Oryctolagus cuniculus: one gene and its partner. The protein of the gene in region 2 purifies or fractionates together with the protein of the main gene of each other region. This does not show direct contact. Links are inferred from orthologs where the notes say so. Each region holds a gene or a part of one and is shown on either strand. Other genes may lie near its edges.

What was found. Proteins that work in one complex are often made in the same cells at the same time.
Region 1: the proteins of TSSC4 (region 2) and PRPF6 purify together in Homo sapiens (affinity purification with mass spectrometry; 3 studies listed by BioGRID and IntAct, counting the BioPlex papers as one, with this or other methods). This does not show direct contact. The link is inferred for Oryctolagus cuniculus from reciprocal best matches to the Homo sapiens genes TSSC4 and PRPF6.

What each region holds. Positions count from the first base shown.
Region 1 is NC_091442.1:166,928-170,770, reverse strand, and holds part of PRPF6 (pre-mRNA-processing factor 6), read left to right. Parts: intron 1-1,044; coding exon of another isoform or gene 1,045-1,178; exon of another isoform or gene 1,179-1,460; coding exon 1,461-1,575; intron 1,576-3,720; coding exon 3,721-3,843. UniProt on the Homo sapiens protein: Involved in pre-mRNA splicing as component of the U4/U6-U5 tri-snRNP complex, one of the building blocks of the spliceosome.
Region 2 is NC_091432.1:1,158,032-1,163,667, forward strand, and holds TSSC4 (U5 small nuclear ribonucleoprotein TSSC4), read right to left. Parts: upstream 3,528-5,636; 5' UTR 3,442-3,527; coding exon 3,396-3,441; exon of another isoform or gene 2,555-3,395; coding exon 2,475-2,554; exon of another isoform or gene 2,384-2,474; coding exon 1,553-2,383; 3' UTR 1,486-1,552; downstream 1-1,485. Other genes in the region: TRPM5 (transient receptor potential cation channel subfamily M member 5), read left to right, coding at 1-47, 149-463; CD81 antigen, read right to left, coding at 4,675-4,737, 4,814-4,900, 5,636-5,636. UniProt on the Homo sapiens protein: Protein associated with the U5 snRNP, during its maturation and its post-splicing recycling and which is required for spliceosomal tri-snRNP complex assembly in the nucleus.

The sequences.
Region 1 (3,843 bases), on a different chromosome or scaffold from region 2:
GCCTCCTCTCTCTCACTCTCACTCTCTCTCTCTCTCTCTCTCACTCACCCCCCCTTATCTGGTCCCAAGCCTTTCGCTAACACGGTAGGGAAAAGTGGGGATGAGATGGAAGGGAGACGTCACCCTCGTGCTGCTGCTCAGGTCTTGGGCGTGGAGCTGTTGTGGGATGTGGGTCCCACGGGGTGCCAGTCACCACCCTATAGCTTTGTTAAAAGCAGGACATTTTGCGAGAATGTCGTGGACTTAGATGCTCTGTCCACTTCATCCACTTCACCAGGCTTGTTGTGCACACTTAGATCCACTCCCTTTTTTATTTTTCTTAAACATTTATTTAGTCATTTGAAAGGCAGAGTTAGAGACAGAGAGGTCTTCCATCTGCTGGTTCACTCTCCAGATGGCCACAACAGCTGGAGCTGTGCCTGTCCAAAGCCAGGAGCCAGGAACTTCTTCCGGGTCTCCCAGGCGGGCGCAGGGACTTGAAGACTTGGGCCATCTTCTACTGCTTTCCCAGGCCGTAGCAGAGACCTGGATTGGAAGTGGAGCAGCCGGGGCTCAAATTGGCCCCCATATGGGATGCAGGTGGTAGCTTTACCTGCTACACAGCGCTGGCCCCTCTCCACTGCCTTTTTTTTTTTTTTTTTTTTAAGATTTATTTTATTTATTTGAAAGAGTTACAGAGAGAGGTAGAGACAGAGAGAGAGGTCTTCCATCCACTGGGTCACTCCCCAGATGGCCACAACAGCTGGAGCTGCGCCGATGCGAAGCCAGGAGCTTCCTCTGGGTCTCCCACGTGGGTGCAGGGGCCCAAGGACTTGGGCCATTTTCTACTGCTTTCCCAGGCCATAGCAGAGAGCTGGATTGGAGAGGAGCAGCCGGGACTAGAACAGGTGCTCATATAGGATGCCGGTGTTTCAGGCCAGGGCGTTAACCTGCTGCGCCATAGCGCCAGCCTCCACTCCGATTTTTAATCTGATACTGCTTTGAGGTAGCTGTCTTTCTGTTTGAGTCTTCACTAGCAAAAGGTTTTTTTTAATTTATTTGAAGGACAGAGTGAGAGACCAGTACCTTCCATATGCTGGTTCACTCTCCAAATGGCCACGATGGCTGGGGCACAGCCCCAGGCCCAAGCCAGGAGCCTGGAACTCCATCCGGGTCTCCACTGCTTTCAGGTGCGTTAGCAGGAGCTGGACCATGGCCCTTGCCCTGCATTTGTGGTTGCTCAGTTGCCGTGGGTTCTCAGACGGGAAGTTACACAGCCGGTGGGAGGGGCCTTGCAGGCGCTGGAACTGCACAGAGCCGAAACAGTGGGGCTGCCATTCTGGCGGTGGCTCGAAGCCTCTGTGGCTCCCCAGCAGGCCCTGGCTGTGGTCAAGGCCCTCCTAGCCCGTGTGGTGTGGGGGTAGGTTCCTAAGCCGGAGCGGAGAGGCCACGGCACAGGCGCATCACTGTCTGAGTTGCAGGTGTGCTGTGGTCTGAGGCCATCTTCCTGGAGGCGAGGCCCCAGAGGAAGACCAAGAGCGTGGATGCCCTGAAGAAGTGTGAGCACGACCCCCACGTGCTCCTGGCCGTGGCCAAGTGAGTGGCTGCCCTCGCGGGGTCCTGAGGGGCTGTGGGGGCTCAGTTCCCCACAGCGGGTGGTCTCCAGGGAGGGGCCCCACCACGTGGGCTCCTGGCAGTAAGGGGGTCGCCCCTCTGCTCTGGGCTCCCTCGCTGTGACCGTGTGTGCTGCTCTCGTCTCAGCCACTGTGACACCTGCCTTGACCTGGGATTCAGGCCAGGCTTACGCACAACTTAGAAAAGGCTTCTTGGGGGTGGGGGGCCCCTCGGTGCCTTCAGCTCTGATGGGGGAACAGTGCCCATGGGTTCCACCGTCATCAGTGGACCTGGGAGGTGGTCACAGGGGATGAGGCTGGGGTGTGAACGCACATGGCCGTGAAGCCCAGGGTGGGGGCAGCTGTTTGTGGCTACAGCAGAGAGCCCAGGGCAGTGGGAAGGCTGGGGTGTGCAGTGCCTGCAGGGCCTCGAGAGCCATCTGACCCTGCAGGGTCTTAACTCCCTTCTGGGAAGAGGACAATAGCCGAGGGGCTCGGCCTGAGTCTGGGCAGGAGGTAGGGGCAGGGGTAGTGTTGGAGGCGGTCAGGAGGGGTGTTGGTCTCCTGCGTGGGCTCTGAGGCCTCAGTGAGGACAGCGGCTTGTCCACCGGAGGTCTCCCTCAGCTCTGGAGGTGGCAGCGTGTGACCGTGGCGGTGCGGCCCTCAGAGCCCTGCCCGGCACCTCCACCAGTGCTGTGGGTGTGTGGGAGGGGGCATGGCCTAGCTTCCTCCTGAGGAACTTGCGTGCGGCTCGATAGGGCGGCCATAAAACCTTATAAAAAGCTTTGCTAAAGTAAACAAGGCGCTCCTTGCCGTTCGGCAGCTCAGTGTCCGTGTGTCGGCTATCTGGGTTTGTGTTCTTGAAATCACAGTTTATCTAACACCAAGCAATTAAGAATACCACAAGGCTTAAAAACCAATCAGGTTATCTGGGCCCGAAGTGATTCCTGGTGGTAACTGCCAGGCTTCCTGTGCACTCTCAGTGGGGGTGGGGCCGGGTGAGGATGGAGGTCACCCCACTCCTCAGTGACCCTGCCTTGGGCCGGTGGGGTGGGGGTGGTCTGACAGGCCGTGCTCTGGGCTCCCAGTGCAGGTGTGCCCCTGGCCTGAGTTCCCAGGCTCTCTGGCAGGTGCAGCTGCTGTGGCCTGGCCTTGAGCCCTGGTGCCCAGGGGTGTGGTGGGGCTGCGTGGGCACAGACCTCGCTTCTCCTGGTCACCTCCTGTAAACATGTGGAAACTGGAATTAAAAGATGCATTTGTCTTGGTGCAAAAATGATGAAATCTTTGTCTTAATATGCATTTTCTATGAACTTTTAAAAAAGATGTATTTATTTACTTGAAAGGCAGCGTTACGGAGAGGCAAAGCCAGAGAGACAGAAAGAAAGGTCTTCCATCCACTAGTTCACTCCCCAAATGGCCGGAGCTGGACCGATCCAAAGCCGGGAGCCAGGAGTTTCCTCCGGGTCTCCCATGTGGGTGCAGGGGCCCGAGGCAATGGACCCATCTGCTGCTGTTTGCCAGGGCGCTAACTGGAGCCCATACAGGATGCTGGCACTGCAGGTGGTGGCTTCACCTGCCACGCCACAGCATCACCCCATCTGCCTGTTCACTCCCCAAGTGCCCACGAGAGCTGGGGCTGGGCTTGGTTAGAGTCAGGGCCTGGAACTCAGTCCAGCTGTCTCACGAGGGCGGCAGGAGCAGGAGCCCCGTGGTGTTGGACCCAGGCTCTCACACGTGACACTGGGCTGCCTCTGTGGGCTTTATGAAGATGCCCCGGATGCATGGACTCGAGTGTTCTGCACCAGACATCTTTCAGCTGCATTTTCCGTGAACTTTTTGAAGTACCCTCACGCTTAGTCCAGAGAAAAGGAGGTTTGGAGGAGTTTGAAGATGCTGTGTGTGAATTTTGCCGCAGGGGACATTTGCTGGTGGGTCTGTCCTAGGAGGTTACGTGCAGGCTGGGACACCTGCCTCCCTGTGAGGGCACTGGGTTCAAGTCCCCGCTTCTGCTGTCACAGCCCCATGGAGGCAGCAGAGGTGGCTGAAGTAGCTGGCCCCACCCTCCATATGGGAGACACCGTTGGCTGTGTGGCCACTCACCCAGGGTGCCCCCCCTCTCCCGGAGCAGGCTGTTCTGGAGCGAGCGGAAGATCACCAAGGCCAGGGAGTGGTTCCACCGCACCGTGAAGATCGACTCGGACCTGGGGGACGCCTGGGCCTTCTTCTACAAGTTCGAGCTGCAGCACGGCAC
Region 2 (5,636 bases):
GGGCGCTGAGGGAGCAGGAGAGGCGTATCAAGTGTCTGGAGTCGCAGGCAAGTACCAGGCCCTCCCCAGGGCCGGCCCTGCACACCCTCACACCCACACCCGAGTCGGGGTCCGGGCCAGGGGCCCAGCCTCCTGTCCCCTCCCACAGATGAACTACTGCACCGTGGTCCTGTCCTCCGTGGCCGACGCGCTGGCCCAGGGCGGCGCCCCCTGGAGTGAGTATGTGGGAGCTGGGCCAGCGCTGGCTCCGCCTCCCCCCATCCCACCGGGAGTTCTGTCGCTTGGGTGCTGCCCTCTGACGGAGCCCCAGCTGCCCGGCTGCCCTGGGGGTGCCTACGTGGGGCTCACATGTCCCCCATCCCCGGCAGGCTTTCAGAACTGCAGGCAGGACCCTGCTGATCGTGGAGGGCGCGCTGGCGGCAGGGAGCACCCACAGGCCGCCCAGCCCCCCTCAGACACCTGAGCAGCTTGGCATCTCCTGGCCTGTGCTGGCCGGGGGACACAGGCCACCCCGCTCCGACATCCGACCTCATGAACAGGAGCCCCAGCCAGACCCTGCCGGCGTTCCTCCCATGGCAGCGTGCACCTGTGTCCCACCTTGGACAGCATCGGGCAGGGTGCCCAGGGACCCCGCCCCCCGCCGTGCTGCCTGACTAAAGTCTGGTGGTGGCCAGTTCTGTCCTTTGAGACGCAGACGGTCGGTCCTGAGACAGCCAGTCAGCTGCCCAGTCCCGGGGGCAGGGCGGCCGCCCCTGTGCCGGCTCCGGCAGTGTCCCCACCCCTGAACCCAAAGTGGCTCTATTTCCGGTGCTCCCTGGAGCCCACATCCCCTCCAACCCAGGTCAAACCACAGTGTCCACACGGGGGCAGGCCTTGGCTCCTGGGCTACCCACACCACCCACTGAGCTGAGTCACAACCAGGCCGAGCCCTCAAGGGTCAAGGGAGTGGGGGACAGACATGCTCGCTCCGTGGGCCTCCCCCAGCAGACCTGGGGAACCCACCCTTTGTCCCCCATGGCCCATGCTGGGCTGGAGTCCTGGCACAAGACCCCAGATGCCGGCTCTGCACCCCGTCCTGACAGTCTGGGTGGGGCACAGCCAGAGGCGAGCGTGGGCACGGCTACAGGACCACTCAGGCCTGTCCGGCACCATGCTGGACTCCTGTGGCCTGACCCCAGCCCAGGGGGACCCCTCAGCCCCTCCAGGCCGGCACTGTGCGCAGCAGGTAAAGCCGCCTCCTGTATGTGTGGTTCCAGTCCCGGCTGCTCCACTCTGACCCAACTCCCTGCCGCTGCAGCTGGGAGAGCAGCAGACGGCCCCTGTGCCACTGCGGCTCTCTGGGGAGTGGACCAGTGCACGCAAGACCTCTCTATCTTTCAAAATTAAAAGCAAACAAAAACCCAGAGAAGCGGAACACTGGGGCCGTCACTCTGCAGGGTCCGAGCGGGGCTGGGGGCCCAGGGGGAGTGAGACGACAGACAGGACCCGAGGACACCCAACACCTTTATTGTCACCCATGGAGCCCCGGGCCCCCGGCCGCGGCCCGGCCCGCTCACCCCTCAGCCGCTGGGCCCTCGCAGCCGCTGCCCCTGTTCCGGAAGTGCTCCCGGCTCCGCTTCCTGGCGCCGTGGAAGCCGACGGCGTCCAGGCCGGGGGGCCCTGGCGAGGCCCCTCTGTGGGCAGCCGCGGGGGACGCGTCTTCCTCCTGCAGGCCGCCGGGGGTGCCGCCCCTCTCCTCGGCCTCTGGGCTCCCGGGCCCGGCCAGGTGGGGCAGCTCCACCGCCTCGGTCCCCGGGAGGCCCCTGCCCGGCTGCGCGCCCTGCCCCAGGCCCCTCTTCCTCTCGGGCCTGGGCTCGCGGGCTCGGGCCGGTCTGGTGAAGACCACCCTGCCCTCCCCGCAGCTGGAGGAGTCCTGGTTGAAGGCGGGCGCGCAGGCGGCGGGGGCGGCCGGGCCCCGCGCGCCCAGGAAGGCCAGCGCCGCCGCCCGGTTGCTCTGCTCGCTGGCCTCGGCCACGTCCTCGAGGCTGTACCTGGTCCAGCGCTCCGGGTGCGCCACGTAGTCGGGGACACGCGGGCCCCTGGGGGCGCCGGCCGCCCCCTCCAGGCCGTCAAAGACGCTGTGGCTGCGCCGGGAGAAGGCGGAGCTCGTGCCCCGGAGGCAGAACGGCTGGGCCGCAGGGGCGGGGGGCGCCGGGGGCGGCGAGGGGGGCTCGGAGTCCTCTGAGTCCGCGGGCAGGTCTACACACGGCGCGGCCGCCTCGGCACCGCCAGAGCTGAGGTCCGAGTCCGAGTCCGAGCCCGAGTCGCTGGGGAAGTCGGCGTCGTCGGGGGGCGCGGCGTCCCCCTCGGCCCCCGCCTGGGCCATGGCCCCGTCCCACGGCACCTGCGGGGAAGCAGCCCGCGGGGAGGGGGCAGCTCAGGGTCGCCGGCCCACGCGGCCGCAGCAGCGGGCCCCTCCCCGGCCCGGCTCTCACCTCCCCCGTCCGCCCACGGAGGTCCTCGGTGGCCCCGGCGTGGGCTCCTCGGTGGCCTCGGCTCCGCTGCTCAGACGGGGCTGGGTGAGGGGCGGGGGACAGAGCCCGCGTCAGAGCGCGGGGCCGGCCGCAAGCTGCCTGGGACGAGGCGGAGCCCAGGGCTGGGCCCCAGGGCCCGGGCCGCGGCCACCCCGGCGGGGTCGGGCTCGCGAGCGCGCTCAAGGGTCAGCTCGAGCGGCCTTGCTGGGCAGAGGCCGCCCCCGCGGCCCCGGACACGACCCCCACCCGCGCTCCCGAGGGGCTGGCTGCAGGACAGCCCGGGCGCACCCTCCACACGGCGCTCCCCGCCTCGGGCCGACCCAGGCGCGGCGCAGCACCTCCTCCCGCGGAGCAGCCGCAGGAGGAGCGCTGGGCCCAGCAGGGACCGCGGCGAGCGCGCCCTGGGCTGGGGAGGCCGGGATCCCGCGACCGGGCCGAGGGGCAGCGGCTCTAGCTGCCTCCGGCCGCCTCTGCCGCGGAGCAGAGCACACCTTCGCCGTGTCAGGGCGGCCGCGCAGAGGGCCCTCCCGGACTTACCGGCTCCTCGTGCCGGCCGCCTTCATTCGGGTTCCCCGCCGGCCGCGCTCAGCCTTTTGGGAAACCGAGTCCCCCGCTAGCCGCGCACTGTGGCCTCCGCGACCGAAGAACTACATCTCCCATAAGCCACCGGGCCTCAGCTCCCGAGCCCTGACGGGACGTGTGCCCCAGTGCGCATGCGCCCACGCCCTTCTCCTTACACCTCCAAGCCCTGCGCCAGGAGCGGGTTCCGGAAACGGAAAAGGCCTAGCGTTGACACGGAGGAAGGGGCGGAGCCAACCGCCACTCCCAGAATGCTCGACTAACGGCGAGGCGCAGGCCTCTCGGAGTTTTAGTGCCACCTACCGGGAGGTGCGGAGACAGCAGCCGACGTAGACAGGAAGTGCGTCATCGCGCACGGTGGAGCAGAAGCCCTTGCCCGCACTTCCGGCCTTCCGAAAGCGGAAGTCGCTGCCCCTTCCCGGGTCCATCCGTCAATGCCCGGGGCGGGCCTGGCAGCCACTGAGCTTGTGGGCTGCGCTGGACGTCGGGAGCCTCTGACGATGTTTCTCCGGTTCCCCGGCCCTCAGGGACAGGCGCGCGGAGCGCTGCCCAGCGGCCCAGGCAGCCGGGGCTGGGCGTGGCCATCCTGGGCAGGTCCGGCCCCGGGCTCTCCCAGACAGGCCTCTCGCTGGCCACCAGGCCCCAAGTGGGCAGCGCCTTTTGCCCCCGTTTCTGCTGGGGCTGCTCGGTGCCCGCCAGACCCCAGCTCCTGAGTCCCTCTCCTGCGGGGGCCTGCTGTCCTGGCACTCACGGGGAGACCGGCGTCTAAGGACCCCGGGGGGGCCAGCCGCGGACAGCAGGCGGGTCATGCACGGCCCAGGCACCTCTGGGACACCCACCCTGTCCTGGCAGCCCCGGGGCCCCAGGCCCTGCACGTCCAGAGGCCAGCCTGGGCCAGCACGGCCCGGGGGGAGTGGAGGGGACTCCTCGCTGCACCTAGTTCTCCCAGGCAACCCTGTCCCCCAGGGGCTGGGAGCAGCAGGAGCCCCCGCCCTCCGCAGGGCCAGCCTCAGTCCTCCCTGGCTGCTGTCCAGGCCGAGGCGGGGCCTTTGCTCTGGCTGCTCCGAGATGCTGCTGAGGCCCGGGGGGCCACCCACGTCTCAGCAGACCTGGGGCCTGCTGCCCGCAGGGAGCCCGGAGCCCGGCCGCCCCCTCCCGCAGCCCGGTGTGCCCCAGGGGCGGTCACCCGCGGAACGCTCCCTGGGTCCTGGTCCCGTCCGCTCCGCGCGGGCTCGGCACAGTCCAGACCCCTCTGTCCCCAGCGCCCCACCCACTGAGACCCCACCGGCCAGGACCGGCGGCCAGCGCGTTAGCATGCCCGATGTCTCCTCCTTTATTACAGACTGTGTCCAGCTGCGGGCGTTACAGTTGAAGGTGACGTTAGAAAGGACAGGTGCTCCCGGAACAGGCAGGAAAGCAACAGGATTAAGAAGGCCCGGCCCCCCTCGGCAGGTGCCCCTGGCACGCGGCGTCAGCCACAGGGGCTCCGGGGGAGACGCAGAGCCCGGAGAGCCGGCAGCTGCGTGCGGAGCGAGCGGGGTGGCTCTGTACAGGCGGCGGGGGCGGCGGGGGCAGCGCGGCCTCAGTACACGGAGCTGTTCCTGATGCCGCAGCACAGCACCATGCTCAGAATCATCTCGAAGATCTGGCGGGAGGGGGGCGGTCAGCGGGGGCCGGCGGGGCGGGGCGGCCCCCCCCCCCCCGCCCGCCTGCCCGCTCACCATGATCACGGCCACCACGATGGCCGCGATGCCGATGAGGTACAGCTTCCCCGAGAACAGCTCGTCAATCTTCTGGTGGCAGTCCTCCTGCGGGGAGGGCAACCTCAGCTCCCACCTGCCCTGGCGGCACCCCGGAGGGCCCAGCTAGGCGGCCTCTGCCCACGCGGGGGAGGCGACCTCAGCTCCCACCCGAGGGCCCAGCTAGGCGGCCTCTGCCCACGCAGGGGAGGGCCCAGCTAGGTGGCCTCTGCCCACGCGGGGGAGGGCGACCTCAGCTCCCACCTGCCCTGGTGGCGCCCCCGAGGGCCCAGCTAGGGGGCCTCTGCCCACGCGGGGGAGGGCGACCTCAGCTCCCACCTGCCCTGGCGGCGCCCCCGAGGGCCCAGCTAGGCGGCCTCTGCCCACGCGGGGGAGGGTCCAGCTAGGGGGCCTCTGCCCACGTGGGGGAGGGGTGACCTCAGCTCCCACCTGAGGGCCTAGCTAGGGGGCCTCTGCCCACGCGGGGGAGAGCGACCTCAGCTCCGACCCGAGGGCTCAGCTAGGGGGCCTCTGCCCACGTGGGGGAGGGCGACCTCAGCTCCCACCCCAGGGCCCAGTTAGGCGGCCTCTGCCCACGCGGGGGAGGTGACCTCAGCTCCCACCCCAGGGCCCAGTTAGGCGGCCTCTGCCCACGCAGGGGAGGGCGACCTCAGCTCCCACCCCAGGGCCCAGCTAGGCGGCCGCTGCGCACGCGGGGGAGGCGACCTCAGCTGGGGCCGACATCCTGCCCCGCCCCTCCGGGCCCAGGAGCCCCCCCCCCCCCCCCCCCCCCGCCGCGGGCACC